Linked DNA regions of Diceros bicornis minor. The protein of the gene in region 1 interacts with the protein of each later gene in a pairwise test. Links are inferred from orthologs where the notes say so. Each region holds a gene or a part of one and is shown in the gene's direction. Other genes may lie near its edges.

Evidence for each region. The genes of interacting proteins can lie anywhere in the genome.
Region 2: the proteins of FIP1L1 (region 1) and PRMT2 interact in a two-hybrid assay, tested with the Homo sapiens proteins (2 studies listed by BioGRID and IntAct). The link is inferred for Diceros bicornis minor from reciprocal best matches to the Homo sapiens genes FIP1L1 and PRMT2.

The regions. Positions count from the first base shown.
Region 1 is NC_080747.1:41,487,445-41,495,366, forward strand, and holds the start of FIP1L1 (pre-mRNA 3'-end-processing factor FIP1), read left to right. Parts: upstream 1-4,910; 5' UTR 4,911-5,122; coding exon 5,123-5,207; intron 5,208-6,406; coding exon 6,407-6,451; intron 6,452-6,554; coding exon 6,555-6,594; intron 6,595-7,922.
Region 2 is NC_080766.1:46,000,133-46,007,893, forward strand, and holds the start of PRMT2 (protein arginine N-methyltransferase 2), read left to right. Parts: upstream 1-4,756; 5' UTR 4,757-4,845; intron 4,846-5,896; exon of another isoform or gene 5,897-6,004; intron 6,005-6,350; 5' UTR 6,351-6,410; coding exon 6,411-6,449; intron 6,450-7,761. UniProt on the Homo sapiens protein: Arginine methyltransferase that methylates the guanidino nitrogens of arginyl residues in proteins such as STAT3, FBL, histone H4. Acts as a coactivator (with NCOA2) of the androgen receptor (AR)-mediated transactivation.

The DNA.
Region 1 (7,922 bases):
AGTCAAGTCATGGACAATAATTTGAGCAGACTAAGATTTAGGGCAGGGAGAGCAGTTAAGAAACAGTAACAGCAACCACTTGGGCCAGAGTAGATAAGGATACCAGTAAAGGGGATCTACAGTGAAGGGTGTCTAAGGAAATGTTAAGGAGATAGAGCCAAAAAGCCTGGTTACTGGATTGACAAAGAGTGAGGCAGAGGAAGAATTTCAGGGTAACATCCAGTTTTCTGCCTGGGTGACTGGTAAATGGCAATCACTGAGATTTAGAAAACCAGATGAGAAGCCGATTGGGGGAAAAATATACTGAGTTCAGTTGGAACATGTTTTTGTTTGTTTTCTGTTTTTCTAATCGTGGCAAAATACACATAACATAAATTTACCATCTTAACCACTTTTAAGTGTACAGTTCAGTAGCATTATTTTCACAATGTTGTGCAACCAATCTCCAGAACTTTTTCATCTTGCAAAACTGAAACTCTATGTCCATTAAACAACAACTCCCCATTTCCCCCTCCCACCTGCCCCTGGCAACCGTCATTCTACTTTCTGTTGCTATGAGATGACTACTCTCGATATCTCATATAAATGGAATCATAAAATATTTGTCTTTTATGACTGACTTATTTCACTTAGCATAATATCCTCAAGGTTCATCCACGTTATGTGTCAGAATTTTCTTCCTTCCATTTCTTGCTCTCAGATATTATGGCAGTCAAATGAATTCCTGCTAAAATTACATGCTTAAGATCATTAGATTTACCTTATTTAAATGTGATTTGTATTTCTCTGCTCAAAACAGCCAGCAGTTATTTCCCATTCTTCATAAAATCAAGCATATCTCCCTTCACTTCATTTCAAACTCCTCCATATGCACGATCAACACGTAAGGATTCACTATGCACTTTCCACGTGCTTGACATTGTAAAAGAGGATCTGGTGAATACAGATATAAATAAATTTTGTTCTCATCCTTAAAGAGTGTGCAGTCTACATAACAGTGTAGATGCAAATAGGAGATGATATAATTTTCCAGAAATAACTAGTAATATAAAATTTAGTGTTAAAATACGTCAGAATACAGAGGAAGATGGATAATTGGGGCTTAATTCCTCATGGAAGTATCTAGAGAGGAAGAAAAGCTCTATACATGTGCCATTATTCAGGTTGTTCAAAGGACGAAAAGTCTAACCATAACACACCACATGCTTGCCTCTAACTTGTCAAATGATTTGACATTTGAAACTTCATTTTAGCTCTGTTATCCTCCCAAGAAGTGGGTGTAAAGGTGTTATTTTAATATATCAATTCACTGGTGAGGAAACTGAGGAACATTGAGATTTAAGTGACATATTTAAAATTGGCAGCAAATAGCACAGTTAAGCCTAAATGTCCTATCCATTCAAAACACATTTATGAGTACTTGCTAACTACTAGATACCTAGCAAGGCATTTTTATTTGATCTTTACCTCTTGCTATCATTTTAATCATCATCTACTAAGCATTCTCTTTCAGTACTTCTCAGAGATAGATATATTAAAACTGATGCTTTGTTGTTGTTTTTTTTTTTTGCCAAGAACCAACAGATCACACACACCAAAAAAACATTCTTTAAAGTATTTGAACATAACACAAATATAACCAGAATATAAGAAGTATTGTAGTTTGATAAGGTCATAATTTTACACAATATCTTCAAACCACCTGTCTTTGAAGTCTCCCCTGGTGAGGAGGGAGATAAAGACACCTTTAACTAAGGAAGTTTATCCAGGCAAGGAACTCAGATTGGAAGCAAGGAAGGAAGAGGCCTTTTAAAAGTGATTATTAGTGATTTATAGGCTTCTCTGCTTGTGGAAATCTTCATTTTCAAAGCTTAGCTCAAATGCTACCTCCATCATGAAGGCGATTCTGATGCACCAATTATTATTCATCAGTTCTTCAGTTCAGTTTAAGTAACGCCTTGAAAGACGAGCTCATTTCAGGCATCTGAAAGGAGAAAGAGGCTGCTCAGCAAAAGACAATTGGTTCTCCCATGAAACCACCAAAGTTCATTATAGACTCATGGAATGATAAATAGAAAGATGAATAGGACTATAAGTGATTGCCTTATGATACTCCAAGCAGAATATAAAAACTTTCATTCCATTACTGTCAGTAAAGGCCAAGAAGATCTACTAAGTGTTAGGCACCATGCCAGGAATGAGAGTGACATATAAAAAAATGCCCTGCTCGGGCCGGCCCCATGGCATATCGCTTAAGTGCGCGTGCTCCACTGCTATTGGCCCAGGCTCGGATCCTAGGCATGCACCAACGCAACGCTTCTTAGGCCGTGCTGTGGCGGTGTCCCACATAAAGTGGAGGAAGATTGACGCGGATGTTAGCTCAGGGCCAGTCTTCCTCAGCAAAAAGAGGAGGATTGGCATGGATATTAGCTCAGGGCTGATCTTCCTCACAAAAAAAACAAAAAAAGCCCTGCTTGAGGGAGGACTTGGTCTAATGAAGAATCTTAAGAAAACACATATGTAGTCAAATAATTACTACATGATGTGATAGATACATGCCATAGAAGCAGCAAAAGGTCTAGAAGAGAGTAATTAGCTCTTCCCTACTCACTCCCTAATAACTCTGACATCATCTATATCCTCTTCCTCCCTAATTCTACTCTGGCTACATTTTGGGTTCCTTGAATGCCTTAAGTGTGCCTCTGCCTCAGGACCTTTGCACTTCCTATTCCCTCTGTCTGATAGGCTTCACCCAGAAATCCACAGGGCTTATTTTCTCTCTCCATTCACGTCTCTACTCTTATATCACCTCATCAGAGTGGCTTTCCCTGACCACTTGATATAACATAGCATCCTATCCCTCTTCATCATTCTGCTCTGAGTCCTCCTATCCTGCTTACTCTTCTGTATAATCCTTATCATCACTTGACGTATTGTACATTTATGGTTATTGGCTCTCTCCCTCATTAGAATGAAAGCTTCATGAGACGAGCACTTTGCCCTACTCATTACCAAATCTACACAGCCTGGAAGAGTTTCTGACACTTGGTAGACCATTCATAAATATTTATTGAATAAATAAAGAAATGGGAGGAGATGAAGTGGAATTCAGGAAAGATTTCACATACAAAGTTGATTATAACTCAACAGAGTTCAGAAGGAGGTAAGGGATTATCCTAAACAGATAAGGGGGACTGAGAATAGCAGGTAGAGGAGTGTTCAAAGGTAAGAGGGATTAAAACCACATGACTTGTTTAAATGCCATAAGATGCTGTGGTATTGGTGGGATGTAAACACATTTGTGCTTCTATTGTAGCATAGCCACCTTTTCCCTTGTAGAAGAATTAATTGTTTACCACCCCTCTGTCTTTCTCAATAAATTGAGAGCTCTTTAAGGGCAGGGACTCTTTTACTCATATCTTTATTTTCCAAGTTCTTAAACAGCAGATATTCAGTAATTGTTAAATAAATAAATGAAAGAACAATATTTCCACCACCCCCACCAAAGCCCCAGTAGATAGTTGTATGTCATAGCTGCACATCCTTCTAGTTGCTGTATGTGGGACGCGGCCTCAGCATCGCCGGAGAAGCAGTGCGACGGTGCGCGCCCAAATCGGAACCGGGCCGCCAGCAGCGGACCATGCGCACTTAACTGCTAAGCCATGGGCCGGCCCTGAAAGAACAATATTTATTAATTAGAGAGCAAAGTAAACCCACTGATTGATTTTTAAAACTAAAACAGATCACTTTGTTGAAAAGTGAGCATCCTGTTTGAAAACTTTAGAACAGAAAGGGACTTGAGAGATCATCTAATCCAGCTTTCCCATTTTATAGATGAGAAAACTGAAGCATAGAGAGGTTGATTACCTGAGGTCATGCAACTAGGTAGTTATAGTTAACAACTAGAACACCAGTTTTGACCCATCATGTGTCATCTTGAAAGATGTGTTCTCAAAAGTGGCTTGAAAATTTGACATTACCTAGTAAAATAAAAACTGCTCATACTTTATGATCTATCTTGGAGAAAAACTTGTATAAATCCCCAAGAAGTCATTTACAAGGATCTTCATTGCAGTTTTTGTGTGCATCTTAAAGCAAAAAGTTGAAAGCAATCTAAATGTACATCAATAGGGAAATAGCCACATTCACTTTATGAGAACCATGGTATGGCATATTATGAAGCACTTGAAAATGGACATAGTTTGATATACACTAACATGGAAAGGATCTCCAAAACACTGTTGAATTAAAAAAAATAAAAAGCAATCCACAGAATGATACATACAGTACTGTACCTTTTAAGAATCGTTAACCTCAGGTTCTCCTACCAAAACAATACAATGCACCTGAAGTATATGTATAGAAAATTTCAGGATGATGCCCACCAAATACAATGGCTACCTCTGGAAAGGAGAGTAATGGATGAGGTGGTCTTTGACCCGTAATGCTGTATTTTAACAAGCAGAATGCATTATTCACGTATTAGTTTTGCTTTTGTTTGCGGTTTAAAACTAATTTTTGAAGAAAGTGGCCATGAACTATGTTTTCTTCTCTATTTAATGAGAAACAGGGAACTGATAGATAACGATTCTGTATCAAGTCTGATACACATGTAAAGAATGAAATATGGCCTTTCGGAAGATTAAAAAGCAGAAAGAAAGGTTGAGAAGACAAAGCACCAAGGGCAGAAGCAAACAACGCAGCGCTCCTCGGCAAAGGCAATAGAGTTATTAGAAGGAACGTTGGGGGCGGGGAACCGTAGCCGACGCAGGACGCCAGGAAAGAAAGCGACGCTAAAAAGCCAGAGCGGGATTCCACAGGGGCGGGGCCAACTACGGTGCGCACGCGCAACCAGGCCCAGGTGGCCGCCGCCGCGGAAGCGAAACCACCTAGAGACGCCGCGCCGCTTGGATGCTGGTGCGCGTGCGCAGGCGGATGGGGGCTGGCGTCCTCTCCCTTGCAGCCTTCGCCGCCGCGGCCGTCCCCCGTGGATTTGAGTCTCGCGCTTCCTTCGTTCGCTCGCCGGCGGGTTCGCGCCCCCTCGCGCCCCCGGGCAGCGAGGCCGGGGAAGGGGTTGCAAGGGGCTGTTGATCGCCGCCTTTAAGTTGTGCTCGGGGCGGCCATGTCGGCCGGCGAGGTCGAGCGCCTAGTGTCGGAGCTGAGCGGCGGGACCGGAGGGGATGAGGAGGAAGAGTGGCTCTATGGCGGTACGGAACTTCCTGTCCCTTCTCTCTCTCCCGGGTTCTCTCAGGCTTCTCTCCCGGCCTGCAAGCGGCGGGCGTCCGGGGTCCCTCACGCCGCCGCCTGAGGCCTCCAGTGCGGAGCCTTATCCGGCCTGACTTAGGCCGAGCGCGGGGTGCGCGTCCCCCCGCCCCCCCTCGGCCTCCTCGCCCAGCCGACACCCCCAAGGCGCACCCACCCCGCGGCGGCCCGGGCCGGGCTGGGGTCGCGGGACAGGGCCCGAGCCCTCTCGCACACACACCCCTCCCCCCCACCCCGCGAGGGCGTCTCGGCCTCGCCTCCGCTCCTTACTCTGTTTGTTGATATCTATTCTGAGTTGTGTTGGTGTGTCTCTTACCCCTTGGCTCTAGGATGCCTCTCCTGTCCCTTTCTTTCAGCAACAATCATTCTGTAATAATAGCTAAATAAAGTTGATGCTGTAAAACTAACGTCTTGTTTCTTGATGGTCAGTGTGTGTGGAATGCACCTGCAAGGGTACCTCCTTGTCTGAAAGTCGTTCTTTAAAAATAACTAATTAAAAAAGAGAAAGAGAGAGAGAAAGAAAGAGATGGAATACATTATGGCCCATAAAGAAAACCCCGAATGTCTCCTGTATTAAGGTGAAGTTTTTCTTTTTTAAGAGACTGGTCTTTAACCCACATGATAGAAGTACCTCATGTCCCTTAGGCTAATGGTTTTCAGTATCGTCTTGTGCATTTTTTCCCCCTCAAATGTAGAGCATTTTGTACTTCCCTTTTGAAAGGGACTTGTTTGACATCTGGTTTTAACTTTCATTAAGTCACAGTCCTTTCTTTTCTGTTACTGATACTAGATTTAAAAGTTAATACTGGTTCCTTACCTAAAATGTATATTTTTGATGTCTTTAAAATAGTAAAGTAAAAGTGCGCGTTTGGGCACCATGCAGCTCTTTCATGATGTGGCTTGGACAAACTTCTATTTTGATAAACTTGTAAAATAAGTTCATTATCTTTGACGGCAAGGTTTAGCATTAGTAATACTCTCTGAAATGTAAATGTGTAGGGTATCTTTTACAAAGATCTAGAAATCTTTAATACCTCTTAAATTAAGCTTATTTTTGTAGAAGTAAAGTCTGATTTTTTTTTTTCATAAAAGACATATCTTGTTACATCATTATAAGGTGATCTAACTTTGGATGTGCTTATAGGCCCATGGGACGTGCATGTGCACAGTGATTTGGCAAAGGACCTAGGTTAGTGCTTGTGATGATCACTTCAGATTTTCATAATACTGGTTTCTTTGAGAGTGGTTTGTTTGTTAATTTTATTTATTTATTTATGTATTCTTTTTGGTAGATGAAAATGAAGTTGAAAGGCCAGAAGAAGAAAATGCCAGGTTAGTGAAATTTCTTGGTGTGATACAGTGGTTCAATTAACAAATTGTCAGAATTATCTCCTTATAATCATTGACTTGATTACAACATTTTGACTGAAGGTTGAAAGACATTGAATCATTCAGAGTTTATTTTTGTTTCAGGACCTAATCTTATATTAATTCTGTTTATTTGCTAGTAGCTTAGGGGACAAAAGTTTTTGAAGTAAGGATTTGGATAATTTTCACTGTTAAGTAACTTTTTATACTTAAGTGAGCTCAATAGTGGAGTATACAGTAACCATTAGACTACTAAGAAAAAAATTTTAGCTTAAAAAATTTTTTTAGATAATAAAGAATCCTTTAAATTACTGCTTTTACAATTAATATTTTTGAGGGTGTAAGGCACTTTGGTTATAATTTCAGTGTTTTGTATTTATTTAAATTCAAAGTGGAATTAATGAATTTGTTATGAGATTGATTCTCCTTGTTAGATTACTGGAAAGGTATGAGTATTGTTTACAGAACATATACAGGGAGCCAGAAACTTATTCTAAATTTCAAAACAGCTCACGCATACAAGTACATGGATATGCTGACTTTACTCTCACCAGATGCCTTGGTGTCCTATAAGGGGGGAGGAGTGGTTAAAAAAAGCTTTTAAAGAATATTTGCATTTAAAAAGTGGAGGAAATACCACTTCACACCCTCTAGGATGGCCATAATCAAAAAAACTGATAGTATCGGATGTTGGTAAGGATATGGAGAGATTAGAACCCTCATACACTGATGGTGGGATTGTAAAATGGTGCAGCTACTTTGAAAAACAGTCTGGCAGTTCCTCAAAATGTTAAACATAGAGTTAGCATATGACCCAGGAATTCTGCTCCTAGATGTCTACCTTAGAGAAATGAAAACATATGTCCACACAATAACTTGTACATGAATGTTCTTAGCAGCATTATTCATAATAGCCAGAAAATGGAAATAGCCCAAGTGTCCATCAAATAATGAATGGAGAGATAAAATGTGGTATATCCATACTGGAGTACTATTTGGTAGTAAAAAAAAAAATGAAGTACTGCTATGTGTTACAAAATGGATGAACCTTGAAAACATTATGCTAAGTGTAAGAAGCCAATCACAAAAGCCTACATATTGTATGATTCTATTTTTATTAAATGTATGGAATAGATAAATCCATAGAGACAGAAAATAGTAGTTGCCAAGACAGGGGACAGGGGAAAATGGGGAGTGACTACTAATATATACAAAGTTTCTTTTTGGGGTGAGGAAAATGTTCTGAAATCACATAGTTGCGATGGTTGCACTATTCTGTAAACATACAAAAA
Region 2 (7,761 bases), on another chromosome or scaffold:
ACTTTCCTCACTGCCATCAAATTGCTTGGGCACCTTTGTTGGAAATCAATGACTGTAAAAGTGTGGGTCTACTTCTGGACTTTCTTTTCTGCTCCGTTGACCTCTTTGCCTATCGTTTTGACAATATCACATTGTCCTGATTACTGTATCTTTATAATAATTCTTGAAGTCAGAGAGTATATATCTTATGATATTGTTGTTCTCTTTTAAGATTGTTCTGCCATTCTAGGTCCTTTGCATTGCTCTATAAATTGTGGAATCAGTTTGTCAGTTTCTAGAAAAAAATCCTATTGGCATTATGATTGGGATTTTGTTGTATGTATCAATCAAGTTGTGGAGAATTGACTTCTTAAATATATTGTTTCCAATATGTGAACATGGAATCTCTCGCCATTTATTTATCTTTTAAAATTTCTCTCAGCATTTTAAAAATAGTTTTAGTGTAAAAGTCTTGCACATATTTTTGTTAAACTTATTCCTGAGTATTTTATGTTGATACTTGTTCCGGGTCTGTCTCAGTCTATTGATAGTGATGCTATCCACTAGAAATGCCTGGGGGCACTCACCTGGGCTCCTACTATTTGTGGGGACCCCCCACAGACATTTCCAATGTTGTGGCTCGACTGGCCCTCATGGTTCTTATTACGATTGCAAGACGCACCTCAGCAACAACCATTATGGAACTTTGAAAAGACAAGGTTTATTATTCACAAGTCCTGGAAGGTACATGCATGCCCCGGGGCCACACAGCGAGGTCGCAGGTAGAGAAAGAGAGAGAGAGAGAGCACACATCAGTGAGGGCTTGGGCTTCTGCCTTTACTGGGGTGGAGGGAGGGTGCCTAGAGTTTTGTGGGTTCACTCTTTTTTTGTGTGTGTGAGGAAGATTGGCCCTGGGCTAACATCCATGCCCACCTCTCTCTATTTTATATGGGACACCACCACAGTATGGCTTGACAAGTGGTGCATGGGTTTGCGCCCAGCACCCGAACCTGTGAACCCGGGGCCACCTAAGCGGAGTGCACGCACTTAAGCGATACGCCACCGGGCTGGCCCCTGTGGGTCCACTTTTTATTGGTGAATTTAAAACATAAGAACAGTGATTAAAGTGCAGGAAGGGGAAAACAAGTGGTCAAAAAGTCAGTTATCTAGGTCACCCAGGGCTTTTCTAAAAAAAACTTCCTGGGTAGGGTGGCCTGGCTTTTTAGCTAGTTGTGTAGCTGGCAATGTGTTTATTCATTTATTGAAGTGGATACCTCAGCAATCAAAAGCTTTATGTCAGGCACTTATAATCAAAAAAGCTAATGGTCAGCTACTTACCCTACAATGCTATTATAAATGGGTTTTAAAAAAAGTTCATTTTCAATGTTTTGCTCCTAATAGAAACACACTTTTTTCTCTATGTTGATCTTGTATCCCACAATCTTGCTAAATTCACTTATTTGTTCTAGTAGTTGTTTTGTAGGTTCCTTAGGCTATTCTATGCGAACAATCTAATCTTTTGTGAATATACATAATTTTATTTCTTCCTAATAGTTATTCTTTTTATTTACTTGTTGCTTTACTTGCCTTATTGTGCTGGCCAGGATTTCCTACAAAATATTGAATAGAAGTGGTGAAAGTGGATACATTTGCCTTGTTTCTAATAAAAACTTTCAATATAACATCATTAAGTATGACTTTAGTGATAGTTTTTATTTTTATTTTTTTGTTGAGGAAGATTGGCCCTGGGCTAACATCTGTTGCCAATTTTCCTCTTTTTGCTTGAGGAAGACTGTCATTGAGCTAACATCTGTGCCAGTCCTCCTCTACTTTATGTGGGAAGCTGCCACAACACATCACAGCTTGATGAGTGGTGTGTATGTCTGCACCCGGGATCTGAACCCGTGAGCCCTGGGCTGCTGAAGCAGAGCATTCGAACTTAACCACTGTGCCACTGGGCCGGCCCCAGTGATGGAGTTTTTGATAGATGCCTTTTTACAGACAGATGTTCTATTTTTGCTGATATTTAAAAAAATCACGATTGGGTATTATTTTGTCAAATCCTTTTTAAAAATGTACTGAAATGATCATATGATTTTTTTTCCCTTTATTCTGTTAAAATGGTGAACTACATTGATTTTTAAGAGTTAGACCAATTTTACATTACTGGTGTCGGGGGAAGAGGGAGAATCTCCCTCTGCCCTTTCCCTTAAGGTTCTTCTGGCTGGCCAAATAATCAACAAGACAGGTTAGCAGGAGAAAATAATACCAAGTTTAATAACATGTATACATGGGAGAAAGCAGGGACACTGCGTTTCTCAACACAATAGCAGAAATTCTCATCTTAAATACCATCTTCTTCTAAAGACAAAGGAGGATGTTGGGGGTGGGGGGTGTCAGTTACAGGAGATTACCACTAAAGCACTGTAAACAAGGGTAAGGTTATTATGCAGATTTAAGGCCTCACCTTCCACATTGATAAGTTTCTAGAAATGAGGTCATCCCCCCTCTTCCCAAGACAGAGAGGGAGATACCTTTACAAATGGAGATTTCCCTTATAAATGTAAATGTTTGTCTGGCAACTCCTTGCAGGGCCATCCAAAGAATGTGGCCAGAGACAGAACTTCTGATAAGATGGGCTTGTTGGTGCCTTTCCTATTGTAAGATCTATTTTACATTATATTACAGCCATCAGATGGAAGATCTGTTCCAGGAAGGAGCCACCATGTCAAATTCTTTAGGCAGTTAGTGGGGGAGGTCAAATGTCCTTCAGAGAAAACAATCAAGGTAAAGAGATATATTTCAGGGTGGCCAAATTTTGATCTCCCACACTGGCATAAACTCCACATGGTCATAATGTATAACCCTCTGTACATATTGTTGGGTTGGACTTGCTAATATTTTGTTAAGGATTTTTGCATATATTTTTATGAAGGATTTTGGTCTGTAATTTTCTTTTCTTGTATTTCTCAGGTGTTTGTATCAGAGTTATGTTTGCCTCATAAAACAAATTGGGAAGCGTCCATCCCCTATTTTCTTTAAATTTTGTTAATATTGGTGTTATCTCTTCTGTAGGGGAGGAAGAGAATTCCTCCACCCTCTAGGTCCTTCTGGCTGGTCTTAGAATTAAATTACATGAGACAGAATAACAGGAGAAAATCAAAGTTTAGTAATATGTACACATGGGGAAAACCCAGAAAAACTGAGTAACTTGTTAGAATGGCCAAAGCTGCCACCTTTTCAGCTAAAGACAGAGGAGGATGTTGGGGGTAGTGGTTTGGGGCTTCAAAGGGGAGGAAGGCAACTTACATGGAGATGGAAAAGGAAATGTTGTTAAACAAGAGTTTGCTGGGCCATCTATGACAACGGGATCCCAAGACAGGACTTTGATAAGAATGGGCTTAGCAAGGATGCTCCCAGTCTACTGACACCCAGAGTTATCTATGGTGATGGCCTGTCCTGGGGCCAGGGCATCTATCTTAAATTCTTTCAGGCCATTAGGGGGAAGGTCAAAGTTTGTATAAGAGATATGGAACTACACAGATTTTCTAAATATACTTGTTCAGTTTTGGTAAGTTATGTTTTTCAAGGAATTTGCCCAATTTATCTAATTTGTCAAACTTTTTTTGACATAAAGCTTCATAATACCAGTTTATTATCTTTTAAAAAAACCTATAATCTGTACTGAATTTTTCATTCCTCATATTGGTAATTTGTGTTCTTGCTTTTTTTATTGCAGTAAAATATACATAAAATAAAATTTATCACCTTAACCATTTATAAGTGTACAGTTCAGTGGTATTAAATACATTCACATTGTTGTGCAGCCATAACCAACACCCATCTCCAGAACTCTTCATCATGTAAAGCTGAAACCCTACAAGGATAACATGATCTCCCTCTTCTCCCTCCCCAGCCCCTGGCAACCACCATTCCACTTTCCGTCTCTAAGATTTGAGGACCACGTCCTGCCCTTCCCAGACCACAGCGCCGCCACCTGCCGACCCTGCGCAGCCACCGCACGGTAACCCGCACTGACGTTGTCCTGTTTTCCTTTTAATCCCTGACTTCCTCTTCATGGAGTAAAAACTTCATCACCATGCTTCCACTTGTCAGGTGGAAACAATGCCACGCCGTTCACACCTTGCAGCCGGAGATGGGAAGGTTAATTGAATTATTACCAAAACAGCAGGAGGACGGGGGTCCTGTTGCAGAAACCTCAGCGTTTCCGTCGCCCATAGCAGGCTTCTGACCACCCCCCCCCCAGGCCCAAATGGGCCCCGGCCCCCACTCCCCTTCCCCGGGTCGACCCGGCCTCCCCCAGCCCCACCTGCGCCCCGCCCCCCGGCCCCCACTCTCCCTCCCCGGGTCCGCCCGGCCTCCCCCGGCCCCCGCTCTCCCTCCCCGGGTCCGCCCGGCCTCCCCCAGCTCCACCTGCTCCCCACCTGCGCCCCGCCCCCCGGCCCCCGCTCCCCCTCCCCGGGTCTGGCCGGCCTCCCCCAACCCCACCTGCGCCCCGCCCCCGGGGCCCCACCCCCACACCAGCGGCGCGGCTCCCCCGCTCGCGCGACGACGGGAGGCGGGGCCCGTGAAGTGCGCCTGCGCGGGGCGCTCGGCCCAGGCCAGAGTACTCCACGAAGGGCCTGAGCGCACTGCGCCTGCGCAAGCCCAAAGGGGTGACGCCACTTGTCGTGACGGCGGGGACTGCGCAAGCGCGGGGCGCCGAGCCCAGGGCGGGGTCTTCTCCGCGGACGCGCGCACCGCGCCTGCGCGGGCCGAGGGCGGCGGCTCGGCTCCCCGTAGGCATCGTCTGCCCGTGCGCGCCGGCAATGAGTACGCGGGATTCAGCGGAGAAACGCGGCTGAGGTAGGTTTCCCGTTTCCCGTACGCTGCCCGGGCGGCTGGACCGCGCGTGAGGCAGGACACGCCAGGTGACCGGTCCGCGCCCGACGTCAGCTAGCGGGCAGAGGCCTCCGCCCCTTCCCAGACCGCCGGGTGCCTTCCCCTCCTCTGCTCCGTGCCCCGAGCTGACCATAGCTCGGCGCCCCTCCCCGCGGGCCACGCCCCGAGCCACGCCCTTGCGGAGGCTTCCCCGGCGCCCCGCCCACCGCTCTCCTAGCCACGCCCCCAGGCCACGCTCCCTCCCGTCCGCGCCCTGGGAGTCCGGCCGCCCCGCACGCTGCGGGTCACGTTACACTCCCTGTCCCCCTCCTCTCCGGCTCCTGCATCCACGGCGCCTTCTCCCCACCCCTCGTTGGCCACCTGCCCCTGAGGATCCTCGGCCCTCTCCCGGACAGCGCCCGGAGCCAGCGTCCTTGTGCCCCGCCCGGGTCCGCCCTCCGGCCGCGCACCGTCCCGCCCCATCCCGTGCCATCCTGGCCCCGCCCCATCCCAGCTCATCCCGCCTCATCCCGGCCCTATCCCGGCCCCGCCCCATCCCGGCCCCGCCCCATCAATCAGTCCCCAACTCACCGCATCCCGGCCCTATCCTGGCCCCTCCCCATCCTGGTCCCATCCCGCCCCATCCAGGCCCCGCCCCATCTCGGCGGTATCCTGCCCCGGCCCGGTCCTGCCCCGTCCCGCCGCATCCTGGCCCTGCCCCATTCTGCTCTTGTCCCTCGCCATCTTGGCCGCATCCTGCCCCATCCTTCTCCGCCCCATCTTTCTCCGCCCCATCCTTCCCCGCCCCATCCTTGCCCTTCACGCCCCGTTCCTTCCGGCCCCCGCCCTATCGACCGGGCCTGTCCTGGCCCCGCCCCACCCTGGCCGTCTAGCAGTGTTTTCCAATGAAAATGCAATGTATGTATTTTAGTATTTGTGATGACAGATGTCACAAAAATAAGTATTAGATCTTGATAAGTGAAGCACGCATTTTAAAGAAAGAATTGCTGTGTAATTTAAAAACCGTTCATCTCAGAGCATAGTACGGATTACACTGTCACTGGAAAAATGGGAATTGAGAATGAGAAGGAAAAGCCTCTGAAGATGCAGAGTTCCTGTTAGTGGAAACACTTTAAAGCCCCAGGTAGGGAGTTTTAATTGGAATTAAAGGTATCAGGGTTCCAAGAACAAATGTGACATCTATTTGTTGTTTTAAATCAACCCAGTGATCTAAGAGAAACCAACAAGCTTCCCTAATGAATAAGATTGACGCTTTGCAGACTCCTCAAGAAAACACACGCTCTTTGAAGTTTATAAATTGTAAATGCTTTCAGTTGTTTTTGTAAAAAGTTGCGTTTATAAACTTCATTTTTATTTCATTCTTTAGACATACATGTTTTGCTTCGGTTCTGTAGAGGAACTTTATCGTGGACCTTAGACCTTAAGTGACGGAACAAGCGTTTTCTCATTCTCTCTCTTTTTAAAAGTAGGAATGGAGGGGAGAATGAAACAGTAAAAGCGGCAGCTATGCGGCAGATCCTAAGAGAACTATGGCAACACCGGGTGACGGCCCCAGCAGTGAGTCGCAGGTAATTTCGGTTCTGGTGTGTAAACCTGTATTTAAAGGCCGTGAATGTCACTGACTCAGCCCAGGGTGGTGGCGCTGTCCTTGGACCTTTGAAGGTGGCCGCTGACAGTGGGGTGCTTAAATAGGGGAAGTGCAGTGTTTGCACGGGTCACAGATGGCGTGCTGAGTTGGGCGTTGTAAACACCGCCCAGGGCTCTGGGGTTCCGTTTTTGGTACTGAAGCTGGTGAAGCAAGCACATTTTCTCAGTTGTTTGATGAAGTCCCAGGCATAATGTGTTAAAGGCAGGTGGGACGCATTAGAAAAGATTTATGTATTCATACTGCTTTTCTACCTGGGATACACGTATAGTTTCATTCAAGTTACCAGTAAAAAAAAAAAAGTCACCTTAAATTTCAAGGAATGTTAATTATGTAAAATTAAAACCAAATGAATAATAAATAATGTTTTAAAAAAATCAAACATTTTCATGTCTATGGTGTCAATTTTAACATTTTTTTCTTTTCCTTCTAATGATTGCTCAAATTTCATTTGGGTTTTTATATATAGGAATTTTATTTATAGTGGGTCATTTCATCTGTCAAAATTACTTATAAAATGTTTCAATTCCGTGGATGTCTTATTTTTCTTTTGATAAATTTAAAAATATTGGAACAGTTACAGAATAACATTGCTTACATATTACACAGAAGTGAAAACTTGTTAACATTTTGTCATATTTGCTTAAGAATATATATATAAATATATGTAAACAACAAGACCATAGATAACAGTTTGTTCTCCAACCTCAGAACCCCAGTCCCATTCTTCCTTCTCTGTCTCCAAAGGCAAGCACTACTATGAATTATGAATTGATCTTTGTGCTTCTGCACCATTTTTTATACTTTAATATTTTATATAGGCATCCTTGAGCAATATATGATGTTTGTGCTTTTTACAGTTTATCTAAGTGGTGTCATATTCTCTGTGTCATCTGCAGCTTGCCTTTTTCACTAACGTTACTTTTGGGGGGTTTGTCGTTGGTGTGTGTGTAGCTATGGGATGCTCCTGTAGCATGTTCCTTATATGAATGTATCACGTTCACACATAATGTATATAGGTCTGTTGCAGTCTTACTATTATGCAGTGCATGTACACGACATTTTATTTATTTCCCTTTTGTTGGACACTTAACGTTTGCATTTTTTCTCTATTTCAAGCAGTGCTGCAGTGAACATCCTTCTGCAGGTCTCCTTGTGCACATGTGCCCTGGGGTATATTCCCAGTAACGGCATTGCAGGGTGCAAGGGATTGCGTGTTTTCAGTTTTACTAAAT